Linked DNA regions of Oreochromis niloticus. The protein of the gene in region 1 purifies or fractionates together with the protein of each later gene. This does not show direct contact. Links are inferred from orthologs where the notes say so. Each region holds a gene or a part of one and is shown on either strand. Other genes may lie near its edges.

Region 1 (7,084 bases):
GCATTGCCGAGGAGATTGGACGCAGACAGCTGGAGCGGATCAGGAAAGAGCAGCAGGCGGCGAGGATGCGTCTCACGATGATGGAGAAACGCTTCCATGAGCTAGAAGGCATCATCGCCAACGCCAAACTTCAGCAAGTCCAGCAGCACGAGGAGGTATGTGGCAACCGCAGCCACCCAGTGCACTCCGCTGTTAGTGTGATCAGCTGTTAGTTGGTCTCATCTGCGTCTCTGTTTGTCTCTGCAGGTGACTGAGGGTGACGGTGACGACACAGACTTTCAGATCTTCTGTGTTTCCTGCAGTCACCCCGTCAATCCAAAGGTGGCTCTGCGTCATATGGAGCGATGCTACGCTAAGGTTAGCTTAAAGAAACAGGAAGTGTGTCCACCTGGGGTCTGAACTGGTTATGAATTACAACTGCCTTAATGAGGTGATCAAACAGGAAGGTACTAACAGCAATGTGGCAACAAAGGCCACAATAAGCCAGTGAAATGACCTTTAGCAAATTCACCCAATGCTGCTGTTCAAATCTTCTGTTTAAAAGAGCTACTCTTCTGGAGTTTAATAATAAATGAGGATAATAAGTTCTCCCTAAAAGATTATTGATGTAACCTAGCACCCCTGAGGTCCTCCTGATTTAACAACATTGGTCTGAGTCTGCACATTAAGTCAGAATATTAGCAGGCATATGGTGGTTATGGCACAACAACTAGTTTTACATCCCCTAACATGACAGTCAGCTGTTCTGAGGTAAAATGTGGGTAATGTAGTCATCAACTTGATTTAAAAGGAAGACTGTTTAATCTGATCTTTCTGTTTCTTTGTCCGACAGTATGAGAGTCAAACATCGTTTGGTTCCATGTATCCAACACGCATAGAGGGGTAAGACCGTGCATCTGTCCGTCCCTCCTGTCTTTACCCGTCTCTCTGTTTGTGTCTCATCTCTCTCTCTGTGTCTCTCAGAGCCACCAGGTTATTCTGCGATGTCTACAATCCTCAAAGTAAGACGTACTGTAAGCGGCTGCAGGTTTTATGTCCTGAACACTCCAGAGATCCAAAGGTTTGTTTATGTCTACAGAAAACAACTTATGACTCGATCAAGGCTTTAATTCGCTGCTTTTTTCCTCGCTTGCTTAAACTCAATGGAGAACTTTTTATTTTTATTTTAGCAAATGTCTGTCGGGCTCTAAAATATTATGTTGGTGTGCTCTTACAAAACTTATCAGCTGTGGATATTTAAAAAATGTTTCTGTTCACGTTAACTTACTGTCTCAAGTCTTTAAAGGACTTAACATCAGAATTTGGATGATACATAAGTTTTAATGTGGCATGTGGTCCTGAGTCTGGACTCAGAGTCCGGAGAAGGGTACAAAGTCAGGACTAGCTGGTCCTGGACTCTGGTCCTGACTTTGGGCTCAGAGACTCAGAGTCAGGCAGTCAGGCCTGACTGTTTCCAGACTCTGGAGTCTTTGGTCCTGACTCTGGAAACAGTCAGGCAGAGTCTGGATCTGACTCTGGACTAGCTGATCCTGACTGGATCGTTGGTCCTGACTGGACTAGCTGGTCCTAACTCTGGGCTAGGTGGTCCTGACTCTTGTTCTGGCTCTGGACTGGCTGGTTCTGATTCTGAACTGGCTGATCCTGACTCTTGCTCTGAGTGCAGGATCAGCTAGTCCTGACTCTTGTTCTGACTCTGGACTCACCGGTCCTGACTACGCTAGCTGATCCTGACTCTGGACTAGCTGATCCCGAGTCTGGTCCTGGCTCTGGACTCAAAGTCAGGCAGACATTTTCCTGACTCTTTGTTATTGACTCCCTGTTGCAGGTCCCAGCAGACGAGGTGTGCGGATGTCCTCTGGTCAAAGACGTGTTTGAGCCCACCGGCGAGTTCTGTCGGGTGTCTAAGAGGAAGTGCAACAAGCATTACTGCTGGGAGAAACTTCGCCGCGCCGAAGTCGACCTGGAGAGAGTCCGAGTGGTATCTCTATTCATACAAACTTTATTTAGTGCCTCGTCATTAACATTAAGACACACCTGGATGTTTCTAACTCTCTCTTTGTCTCTGTCAGTGGTATAAACTGGACGAGCTGTTCGAGCAGGAGAGGAATCTGAGGACCGCCATGACCAACCGAGCCGGTTTATTGGCTCTGATGTTGCACCAGACCATCCAGCATGACCCAATCACCACCGACCTGCGCTCTGCCAAGGACAGGTAGACAGGTGACGTCAGGCAGACGTTTTCCTGGATGAGTTTAATGCTCGTTTGCAATTTTATTGTGGAAATTTGTGGGAAGGTGAGTCAGAGCAACGTTTCATTCACCAGTGAACAAAAAACAAGAGAGATTTGATTCTGACTCCAGCCTCATTCAAACTCAGACCTCATCTGATTTTAGGAAGTCAAACCGTTTTTATATTTCATATTCACACTACTAATGTAGGAAACCTGAGCTCTTACAATCCATGGATGAACACTCAAATAAACCTTCTGCTTAGGTAACACTGCAATGTCTGCTGGATCTCAGCTTAGCTTTGTGGGCAGTTGTATCCTCACTGTTAGTTTTAATAAGTTGGGGATGACTGGACACACAAATATGATCACATTTGATCCTGAATGAGCCATAATGTCTAAAGAGGTGCTCATGTGTCCTCCTCCTACTGGAAAGCTGCTCTCATTCAGTTTAACCTACAAGTATTACACTACCCACATCCGACCAATCTGAAATGTGACTGTGCTTTGGAAATGTCTTAAGGTTGATGATGAAACACTACATGTTCACTAAAGATGCACACATTTTATAAATCTCGAAGTCATCTTGTTACAAGTCATTCCTCCTTGTTTCTTTTTACAATGTGAGCCTGTTGCAGTTTAAATAAAAATTGTGTAAATATCAGTTTAAACTTTCCCCCATGGGATCATCAAAAAAAAGTAAGCATAGAAGAAAAAAAAATGCTAGCCATAAAAAGATGGATTCTGTGACTTGATTGACTCTTGCTTCAGTCTAAGTGAATAAACAGTCAATGGGGTAAGCATAGGGAAATTACTTTTAAGCACAAAGAGCTGAAGTCAAGTGAAATTAATTAAATAAATAAATAAAATGAAATGTCCTGATAAAGAACTCTTGTTTGTATATTGATGAAAGTCAAACTTTTCTGTGTGACATTAATTTCCCTCTGAGAGGAAACCCTTCATTTCGATCTCAGTGTCTCCTTTTTTATATCTGTTTTTATCCTCAGTGTTATCAGTATGTTGTTATTTGTTAAAAATGTTTCAATAAAGTTTGATATCTCATTATTTGTGCTGATTCTGAGCTTTTCTGTTCTTCGAGTGAATGCCAGTGCTGCACCAATTTACTTTAAACTGCACCACAACAATAAACTGGCTACCCAACATGCTTTTTTTAATAGACCAGTAAAATTTCATACATGCAACATAAAGCAGAGAATTCATGAGAAAGATATGAAATCTAGAATTGATTGTAATTAAATTCAGTTTTATTTTATTTTATGTTATTAGGCAGAAGGAAAAAAAACTATACATCATTGTCATTTTTAGTGTGAATAAACGGCCATAGTATAATATTAGGAAAGACATAGTATTATTATTAAAATTAAACAGCAAAAAGGAAAAAAAAATTGTAAAACAACAGAACAAAAACCCAACCATAATAATACAACCTACATTTTGAAGACGCTATTTGTTTTAAGCACATATGACTCTATAAAGATTAAGAGAAAAGCTCGCGACATCGATCTCTAACGTTTTTTAGTTTTAAATTATTAAAAAAGTCCCGGCGCGCGCCACACCCCTGGCTACGCTGCTCGGTGACGTCAAACGCCTCCGACGGTAGCGGTGTACGGTTGGCGCTCAGCGGCTCGGAAACAAACAGTACACTTCCTGGTCGTCCCGGTTCCGGAGGCTGCAGCGGGTCTTCAGACGGATTTTGACCTGGTTTCAGGGTGTGGATGTTTTCGGCTGACTGTGAGTCCCAGTTTATCCGCTCAGTCTGGGTGTTTCATACTAAGAACAAGCTAGCAGGAGGCTAACAGTCTCTGCTGCTTCACTATTTACACCGAGAGAGGATGACCCCGGTCCCGGTCCTGGCCACGATCATGATCTTAGAAAAAGCATTTATGCATCAACGTGAAACTGAGCTGAAGGTGTGACAGATATATTAAAATATATTAAATAATTAAAATAATTAAATAATAATTAAATAATTCTAAACAAATATGAAAAACAAGAAACATAGTTCAGTTCAACTATATATGCATCCATAACTTACAGTAGTAGTCATTTTTTTAAGGTCAACAATAATAACAGAGAGAAACCAATGAATGAATTGATCAGGACTTGGCGACAGTAGGAAGAAGAAAAGCTACTCTGAAATCAGAAGATACCACTGCGCAGGCTGAAGGGATGAGAAGAGCTTAGAGAGACAAAAACCTGCATAAACAGAAGCAGACTGGTATCTTTTTCAAAGAATGTCTAGGAAGACATTCTTTGAAAATAACACAATCACTCCTGGAGAAGGAGATGATGCTTGAGGAATGGAGAAGAAGTGTACTGGTACAGATTTTCTAGAGCAAGGGTGATGTGCAGAGCTGAGTAACTACAGATAGATAAAGTTGATGAGTGTGAGAATAAAGATATGGGAAAGAGCTGTTGAAGTTAGGTTAAGGAGCAGCAGTATGGATCATGCTGAGAAAGAGCTTGGCAGATGTGATGTTTGCTTTGAGAGTGTTGATAGAGAAGTATAGAGAAAATCAGAAGGAGCTTCACTGTGTCTTCGTGGATCTAGAGAAAGTTTATTACATGGTACCCAGAGAGGAAGTCAGGAGTAGTGGGGAAGCATGTGAGGGTGGCGTGACAGTGATGGGTTCAAGGTGAGAGTGGGATTACATCAGGGATCAGCTCTGAGCCCCTTCTTGTTTGCAATTATGGTGAAAACAGTTTTAAGTAATCAGAAAAGTGGCCGGCTTATAAAGCTGGTCTCCTGAGTTCCCAGATGTTTACAGAGTGTAGTTTAAAAAAAAAAAAAAAAAAAAAAAAGGTGACGAAACTCTTCAGTCTCAAATTCAAAGTGAGCAGAGAGATTTAAGTAAACAAAAAGTCTTCTCAGTTTCAGCATACTTGGTTCTGTGCTATTTGAGGTTAATTAAAGGATTTAATTAGTTTGGATTCTCATTCACACATTACACAGTCGTGACTCCTCTGTAACGAGGCTTGTTGTGGCTCGCAGGTGTGAAGGTTCTTCTTCATGTGTCTTTGTTATTTTTGATTCAGGTCGATCTGCGTGGATCAGTGATGCAGTCGGGGTCAGATCCTCCAGGACATGGACCGAAGCCAGTTAGAAGATCTCCTCGTCTGTCCCCTCAGGTCAGTCATCCGACACAGTGATACACCTGGTTTTAACCTTCACCTCCTTTTAAACCTTTTTGCCGCTCAGCCATAAAAGGCTGACGGGGTGTTGTCATCACCCTGCCAGGTGGACGCACAATGTGGATACTCAAGTTTGTGAATGCGATAACTCGAGAATGAAGGAGCTTCAAATTGATGCCATGTGTATATCTACAAAAAATCTCAGACAAGTTTGAATCTTTGTGACCTCGACCACATAGTCAAGGTCAGAGGTCAAGTTTACTCAAAATCCTATGGACGCGATAACTTGAAAACAAGGTGACATACAGTAGGATTTTGTAATTGATGCCGTAGGTGCATCTACTAGGAGGCTGAGAGGTAGCATTGGTTGCTACCATTATTCATTTTCAATATTAGATTAGTCATTTACTCTGCAGTCACTCTTTGCGGATTCCTAGTTAGCAAAAAGTGATCAACATGCCGTATGCCGCATGTCTGAGAGCGGCCAGCCTGGGTTCAAATCCAACCTGCCCTTTGCAGCACGTCTCCCCCTCTCTTTTTCCCTCTGCTTTCCTGTTAGTCTTCACTGTATCTGCCCAATAAAGCCAGAAAAAGGTAGAAAAATATATATTAAAAAAAAAAAAAAGTAATCTACAACAAAGTAAGCAAACTTTATAGTTTGATCAGTATGGCCTTTAGTATGTAGATCGGGGGTTGTATTAAAAGTGTGAAGGTTTGTTAGTTGCAGCTTTAACTTGACTGGGTTATTTTAGTGACTTAAATGAGTGAGTTTGGATCTATTCATGTCTAACACCTATACTGTTTTCTCTGTCTGTGGCAGATATTATAAAATGTTCTCATGTCAGTGACTGATTTTCAGTCATTTTAATGCAGAAAGGATTTTAAAAAATGTATGAACAAAATTGCATTTATTGAGACAATCCTCATCTGTCACTCCTCATAAAACACATTTTATTTGTTTCAATAATGCTAAAATGAAGAGAAAGAATAATATTGTAACAGTTACAGTCAGTAGATTAGACAGGCGACCCTCCTTTCTCCATACGGAGCTAGAAATGAGTAGTATAGTTCCTCTTTAGGGTTAAAGTGATAAGCTCGATTTAACTCGTTTTTATCAGTGTTACTATTTATAATGTGTTAAAGTTTACAGGTTGGCTTTAGCTGAGTTCGAATTATTGACGAGTAAAAGTGGGCGAGGCAATCATTCATTTATCTGAGGTGAACTTTTATCTCAGATTGTCGTGCCTCTCCTTCGATTCTGCACTCAGTTTCATGTGAACACCTGAGTGTTTGGATCTGTTGTCAGTCTGCTTTCGTAACACCAGACAGAAACAGCCGACCCTTTTATTTTCTTCTTCTTCAGCTTTTCCTCTTTTAGTTATTTGAACTCTTCTTCTTCTGTTTCTTTGCGTCACGTTGGAGCGCTTGTGATTTAACCCTACAGCGTATCAATTTGCTTCAGTCGCAGCAGAGAGGTGGGCTTCAGCTGCTCCTGTTTATGTTTGCAGGTCGGCAGCAGTGAGGGAACACAGGAGAGCAAAGGAGGAAACAGCCTGCAGGAGCTGAAGAGGAGAGGAAGGATGGAGAGGACCAGAGAGGAGCAAGAAGAGGAGCTGAGTGGCAAATTGAAGACACTGGTGAGATTTGCACTCTGTTTAATATTTGAAAAGGTTAGCATGCACCTTGGATCTGCAGTGTTTGGAA
Region 2 (7,262 bases), on another chromosome or scaffold:
GGAAACCTGAAGAGCCAATCAGAATGTTTAGAGAGAAAGGAGATGACATGCAAGTCTCGCAGTGAACAGCGCAACACTTAGGCTTGACAGCAATCTCTGACCTTTGAGGGGCTCCGTCACGTCCTTGCCAGTGAAGACAGGTTTAGGAGTAGCGGGTGGAGGTTTCACAGCCACCTTAGTGCTCACAGGCTTGGCAGCAGCAGGAGCAGCAGCAGGGGCCGGGGGCGGAGTCTGGATCTCCTGGAAAGGTGTCGGAGGCAAGATGGCTCCAGTTTGCTTTGCCAGGAAGTTCAGGATGTCCTCCTTCAGGATCCGCCCATCTCTGCCAGTCCCCACCACCTCACTGAGCTTTATCTGAGGACAAAGCGACACCTCAACTGGGAACACAGTGGGACAGACTGGGACAACCCGGTGCGGACAAATAGGAATCACACTTACATTGTTCTCCATGGCGAGGCGTCTGACTGCAGGCGTGGCCTGCGTCTTGTGACCTTTGATCTCCTGGTGGGTGTGTTCTTCTCGAGCCATGGCGGGCGTCTCCACCACGTCCTCCTCCTGGATCACCTCTGAAGGATAACAGCAGTGAGACTTTCAGCCGTGAACTTGGACGGGTGGACGAGTGAAGACCTGCTGATGCCTCACCTGAGCCAGACTCCGTCTCGATATCCACCAGCGGTTTTCCCACAAAGGCCGTGGCATCTGCATCGTAGTAGAGCTTTTTGATGACCCCATCGTAGCGGCTGGTAATGGTGACCGATGCCTTGTCGCTCTGAACCTCACAGATGCTGTCAAACTGAGAAACTTTGTCTCCTTCCTTCACGTACCTGCCAGAGGAATCCAGATTTATTTATGCAGTGGCAAATCACAAGAACAGAATACGCACAAGGACATATCCTAGTCAAAAATGACTCCAAGGTTCCTCAAAGTGTTATTGGAGGCCATATTTCTAAGATTTTCTGTCCCAAGTACAATAACCTCAGTTTTATCTGAATTTAGAAAATTAGAGGTCATCCAGGGCTTTAGGACTTCCTGACATTCCTGCAGTTTAACTAATTGGTGTGTGTTATCTGGCCTGATGGATAGATAAACTTGGGTGTCCTCTGCATAGCAGTGAAAATGGATGCTATGCCTTCTGATGATACTACCTAAGGGAAGCATGTATAATGTAAACAGAACTGGTCCTAGCACTGAACCCTGTTGAACTCCATATTTAACTTTAGTGTGTGAAGAGGACTCTCCATTTACATGAACAAACTGGAGTGTAACGAGTTAACAGGCCATCCTTCATTACAGGTTACAGGTGTTACATCCTAATCGTTTCATATGTTCACCTGTTTGTTCTTTTACAAACTCTGGGGTTTCAGGTTTGCTTCATTTTAAAAACAAAATAATACCAAAATTTTGTCATGACAATAAAAAACGGAGCTGTTGGACTCTTTTTTTTCTTTTTTTTTGTCTTGGTCACGTACCACTCCTTGACGGTCACCTCCATGATTCCCTCACCGATGTCAGACAGTTTGAACTGCACGATAGGTCCTTGATTCACTGCCGGACAAAACAAAACAGTGACACGATCACAGAGAAACAGAACAATCTGCTGATGGAGGTCAGCGTACACCACCATGAGTGATCTGCCTCAATTCTCCCAGAGTCCATCAAACAGCTGAAAACCCAGAACAGTTCACCATGATACAGATCTCCATGGCAATAGCAGAGAGATCAGAGGAGGCCAGGATTCAGGTGCTGCCGGTCTGGACTTACCCACAGCGACATGCAGCCCTCTGCAGCTGAACACCTGGAGCTTCCTGTCACACCTGAAGGTCATTGGCTGCAGAGTCCTGTCACATCTGAAGCTCTGCAGCCGGAAACATCTGCGGCTCTGCTGACTCAGCTGACGGGAAAAGAGCAGATAACAGAGGTCACCTGGACCAGCCAACACACAGGTGCTTCTAAGCCACGCCCCCTGATATTCAGGGCCTGATGGTTCTTCCTTCAGGTCCTGAATGTCAGACCAGGACCAGCACTCCGAAACTCAAACATGAAGACTAGCTCACAACTCCTTCAGCTTCTAATAAAGATGCATACGGACATTCTTTAAACAAGGTGGTGATGTAACCCTAACAGAGAAGAAATGCCAGCCAATAAAAACATCACACACGCCTCTGACACTGTGGCACCAGATCTATGTTTCCTCATCTGCATGTAAACGAGGAAACCGAGTGCATTTACACTGATTTATGCCAAGTCACTGAAGATTACGCTAAGCCTGACTTTGACACTTTCAGGAAGTGGGGGATGATGGGAAATGGCCTTCAGGTTGTCACTCGCTGACAGAAACTCTGCTCAGGTGTTTTTCTTATTGCAGGTTTCCTCTGAATATCTCGAAGCTGTCTCACTCCCATGTCACTTCTCACTAAATAAAACAGAAAGTTCGCTTTAAAATTTATACACATCATTGGAGGACCACCTGTCAATCACGTCGTTTCCGTCGTTTGAAACCACATCTGCTCCTGAGGTCTGGAACAAACACCTGTCCTGGCGGCAGCAGGTGAAGCAAGTTTCACCTGCAGGACAAGCTCTGAATATTACTGAGCTCAGATCTGGGTCAGAACCAGAACCCGCACACTGCCGGTTCTGGTTCTGACTCAGACCCTGACCCGGAAACAGCTGCTGACCATCAGGAAGCACTCGCAGCTGTTAGCTGTTAGCCAAAGCATGCTAACTCAGAGGCTGTTTCATTCCATTAGGGTTAGCATCAGCTAGCCCATTGGCTAGCTATGCTAACGCACTGAGCTTGGTGACGTTGCGGAGACTCTCCGTTAGCATTAGCCGCAGGTTAGCATTAAGCGCTTTCAGAGCCTGTGACGAGAACACGAAGCCTGTATTTGCTCACCAGTAGCCGCCTGAACGCGCCGAGAGAGCCTCTGGTCACCGCCGCCATCTCTACGCTCCGCTGCACGCCCCTCTCTGCAGCCAATCAGCGCGCAGCGCCGGCCTCTCTTCTTCTGCTGCTTCCCGCAGGGCTCGCAGACGTCACACAGGTGTGATGGCGCCACGATCAGGAGAGCTAATGAACAACAAACTGATTCATTAAACTTTTCCTGGTTTTTACAGCCTTAGACGTTCCACGGTTTTTATCCATTATTAATAATAAAAATGATTTGTTGTTTATTTAAAGACAGGTCAGCATCATGACATCAGCAAGCTGCCGTTTGTGCACCTGTCCAGATAAGGTAAGATAAGATAAGACTTTATTGATCCCATGGCGGGGAAATTTGTGCGTTACCACAGCTCAGGTACAGATAGTAGAAGAATACAAAGAGTATACCAGAATATAAAGTCAACAAATACAAAATAAATAAGATAATACAATATATACAATGGTAGCTGAGGTTCTATGTACACACATACCCAGAATATGTTATTGATACAAGTTGTGGAAATATGCAAGAAATACATTAAAAACTATTCTACTACTACTACTATTACTATGTGAGTAAAAGATATCTATAAGTATCTATAAGTATAGACATGTACATACACACACACGTACAAATACACATACACCATAATCACTAATGCAGAGTGTCATCACATTAATCAGATTTCATCTCTACAGGGTCATCAGTTTCTACAGTTAGAACCATAAGAATGTGCAGTTGAGCAGTTAGCTGCACACAAGTCCTTACAGCTACAAACAGGGGACTGTAGAATCAAACCTGAAGGGCTCAGCCCTCAGTCATAGTGTCATGCATACGCTGCCCTGCAATTAACATTACTGGAATATGCTGCTTACAAAAATATTCACCTCTTTTTTCAGCTCAATTACATTTTCATGGAGGTTAGAAAAAGGAGGAAGTTTTTGAATGCACCTCACTCTCCTTAAAAAATAAAGGTGGCTTGTGGCTGAGCAGTAGCATCATGGTTTTGTGTTGCTGTTGCATTTTCATTTCTTTGTACAGCGCTTTGTGCCTTTATGTCTATAAACTTGAATTACGACACCTGTGTGTGGGTTTTCCTGTTAGTGGTGCAGTAATGCCAGCTGTTTGTGACGTTCGGGGCTGGATTACTGTGAACAACCTCTGTGTGCAGAGCCTCCTTGCTGAAGGCCTCAGTCTCGCTGTGTGCTGTTATTTTGGTCATATGGTGCATTTGATTTGACAAATATTTTACACTACACGCTCTTCCTGAGGCAACCCTCCCCGTTCTTCTGCTCCAACAGCAGCAGCTTCTGAGAACTCCTCAGTTTATACGTGCAGTCAACAATTAATTTATTATCAATGTGTGGCAGAGGTGTGGTCCTTGGCTCAGCTGCAGGGGATGGGTGATGCAGGGAGGTTGGAGGGACAGGTGGACATGATTAAACTAATGGGGTTCCTCCCTTCGTATAGTGAGGGTGGAGACCGAAGTGGGACAGTATGCAGACAGCTGACGATTGTGTGTGTGCCGAACCAGGACGCTGTACATGAGTGCAAAATCAATTAAAAAACCCAGTGTGTCGGGTCATGGTCCTTTACACAACGTAAAGTGAATAACAGAGTCAAATGTCACCATGTATTGTCAAGTCATTTTTATTCTGCCTCGTCACAGACGTTATTAATATTAAAATACAAGCATTCATGTTTGAAATTTGCGGAGAAGCAGCAGGCCGGTCTGAGTCCATCTCAGCAGACAATGACATCATCACAGAGCGTGCTCGTGTCCAGCTCGTCAGCACTGCTCGAATCCCGCCATCAGAGAGAGCGCCAGAGACTCCACTGCACAACAAGAGAGACAGACGTCATCAGCTCCTCTCTGCTCACAGCATACAACAAGACGAGGTTAACTGGACAGCTACGGTGGCCAAGAGGTCCCAAACACATATTTCATTTACTGGAAAGGTTTTTCAATCATTCAGTCCTGTGTGCTGACAGGATGACCAGCACAAACATCCTATTTCTCATTTATTACTTTCATTTCCTGTTAAATTGACCTAGAAGGATCAGACTGCAGGAGACTTGTGGTTCCTGAGTCTGAGATGATGCAGGTGTCAACAACCGAAGGTCGGCTTTTATTGGCCCTTGGAAAACTTCGACCACACACGCCTGAGCCCTCGTAACGACATTTTCAGCCTGAAAATGTCGTGCGGATATCTCGTGCACTTATGAAGTCGATCCCCTCTAAACTGCGGACACACTCTGTTTGGAGGAAACACCGAGCACTGCAGCTGGATCCCGACAGCCTCGAAGCACCAACCGATTTTACATTTAAGCTTTTCCAAGTTGGATGTTCTGCACCTTTGGACCACCGTACACAATCACTGCGTTTGACATCATCACCCAGACGACAGACTCACAGTGAGGGAAGGAGCCCCGGCACACCGCCTTATTGAGGATCGTCACAAGGAACATGTGGCAGTTTTTGAAATCAGACTCCATTTTATCGATGGACTCTATCCTGAAAGAGAAACAACATTTAGCTGCAGAGCAGGTGTGTCGTCTCTGTACCTGGATGCGTGTACACACACACACACACACACACACACACACACACACACACACACACACACACACGCAGCGTGCACCACGAATGTCACATCAACACCACTGAATAGACACATCACTCTTACTTCCAGGCTCCAGCCTGCCATCTGTCCGAGAAGATGAGGACGAGATTCAGAACCTTTATTATCGCCTCCTTCACAAAACTGACCTGAGAAAACACAACATGTAGAAACAGGTGAGTCTGAGCAGGGAGCCAAAGTGAGATTCGGCCTACTGAAGGTTCTGGCCCCGCCCACAGTACAGTGTTTTACAAGTTTTTCTGGAAACATAAAGAATCACTGTCTTATAAGATCCAATTTATTTACTTGCCCGCCATCACACAGTACAGTAAGGTCAGTGTACAAGCAGCGGTGCTGATGGTGCAGCAACATTTCTTTGTGCTAAAGCAGGAAAACTGAGAAACGCCTCAGGCTGGTCATTGCGTTCGTAAAAGAACGAACGCTTTTTCATCATCTCAAACAAACAGCAACCGTCTTTACAGCTGATTGTGTCAGCGGTCAGACCGCCATCATAAATGTTCACCTTCTCCCTTAGCAGGCAACGGTCGTGAATCGTGGCCAGGTATCTGTAATGGATCTTGATGAGCTGGTCCAAGTCCTTGGCTTCCTGCACTTGGTGTTGAAACTCGAGTCCAGTGCTGTGCAGAATCTGCCAAGACACAAAGCAGATGAAGAGCCAGAGTTAGTCAAACTGAGAGTGCAGTGAGGACTCTTTTTATTAAAGGGGGTCGTTTAAAGAAGTGATTTTATTATGTAACCCTAGAAGTAAATATGACAGGAAGAGTTATCAGGCTGCCCGCTCACTGTCACGTGATCAGCGCTCGCTGTGCCAAGCTGCTGATCTTCCCTACCGAGCAGCGTCCTGATGGTGTTCATTATAAAAACGTTTGCTGGCACTACTATGTCGACAGCAGCGCTCGAGGGGTAAATGTGAGTGATGTCCTCCCTTATTTATGCTGCAATAGGTGTATGCTACTGGGGGATTCCAATGATGCACTGGGTGCTTCTTCTTCACTCACTATCTATTAATAGACCTCGCTGAACTGAATCATACTTGTTATTAATCTCTGGCTCTCTTCCACAACGTGTTTTATCCTGTCTTCCTTCTCTCACTCAACCGGTAGTGGCAGATGGCCGCCCCTCCCCGAGCCTGGCTCACCTGGAGGTTTCTTCCTGTTAAAAGGGAATTTTTCCTTCCCACTGTCACCAAAGCACTTGGTCATAGGGGGTCATATGATTGTTGGGTTTTTCTCTGTATATTTGATTGTAGGGTCTACCTTACAATATAAAGCGCCTTGTGGTGACTGCTGTTGTGATTTGGTGCTGTGCAAATAAAAATGAAGTGAATTGAATGTCATGGATGCGACATCCTGTTTGCAGGAGGTCAGTTTGGTGGTTTGCCTCACCCTCGTCATGATGTAGTTGTGAAGGCTGTTGACAAAGTGCATCAGTTTGACCCTGAGCAGACACATCCTGTGGATCTGCTGGTTCACGCGCTCTTTGACCTTGACCTCCTCGGCTGCGGCGCCCTCCAGCTTCTTAGTGACGTCTGTAAAACCTACGAGTAACAACCATTTATCAGAGAAATGACTAAGACGGGCTTATTTTCAGTTTACAGCTTCAGGTGGAGCTTGTACCGCTGAATCGAAGCGTGTCCAGACTGTACTTGGCCCATTTGATCTGCAGCAGGAGGAGGAACACTTGGTTGTAGATCTTCTGA

The links. The genes of interacting proteins can lie anywhere in the genome.
Region 2: the proteins of hdac6 (region 1) and dbt purify together in Homo sapiens (affinity purification with mass spectrometry; 3 studies listed by BioGRID and IntAct, with this or other methods). This does not show direct contact. The link is inferred for Oreochromis niloticus from reciprocal best matches to the Homo sapiens genes HDAC6 and DBT.

Annotation. Positions count from the first base shown.
Region 1 is NC_031984.2:4,905,978-4,913,061, reverse strand, and holds the start of hdac6 (histone deacetylase 6), read left to right. Parts: upstream 1-4,026; 5' UTR 4,027-4,080; coding exon 4,081-4,158; intron 4,159-5,284; coding exon 5,285-5,377; intron 5,378-6,888; coding exon 6,889-7,017; intron 7,018-7,084. Other genes in the region: cxxc1a (CXXC-type zinc finger protein 1a), read left to right, coding at 1-155, 247-357, 833-882, 964-1,060, 1,826-1,978, 2,070-2,216.
Region 2 is NC_031986.2:35,936,715-35,943,976, reverse strand, and holds the start of dbt (lipoamide acyltransferase component of branched-chain alpha-keto acid dehydrogenase complex, mitochondrial), read right to left. Parts: upstream 3,033-7,262; 5' UTR 2,942-3,032; coding exon 2,894-2,941; intron 1,892-2,893; coding exon 1,762-1,891; intron 1,546-1,761; coding exon 1,470-1,545; intron 825-1,469; coding exon 643-824; intron 567-642; coding exon 439-566; intron 355-438; coding exon 102-354; intron 7-101; coding exon 1-6. Other genes in the region: tubgcp5 (gamma-tubulin complex component 5), read right to left, coding at 4,711-4,757, 5,336-5,436, 5,609-5,691, 6,066-6,191, 6,949-7,100, 7,180-7,262. UniProt on the Homo sapiens protein: The branched-chain alpha-keto dehydrogenase complex catalyzes the overall conversion of alpha-keto acids to acyl-CoA and CO(2).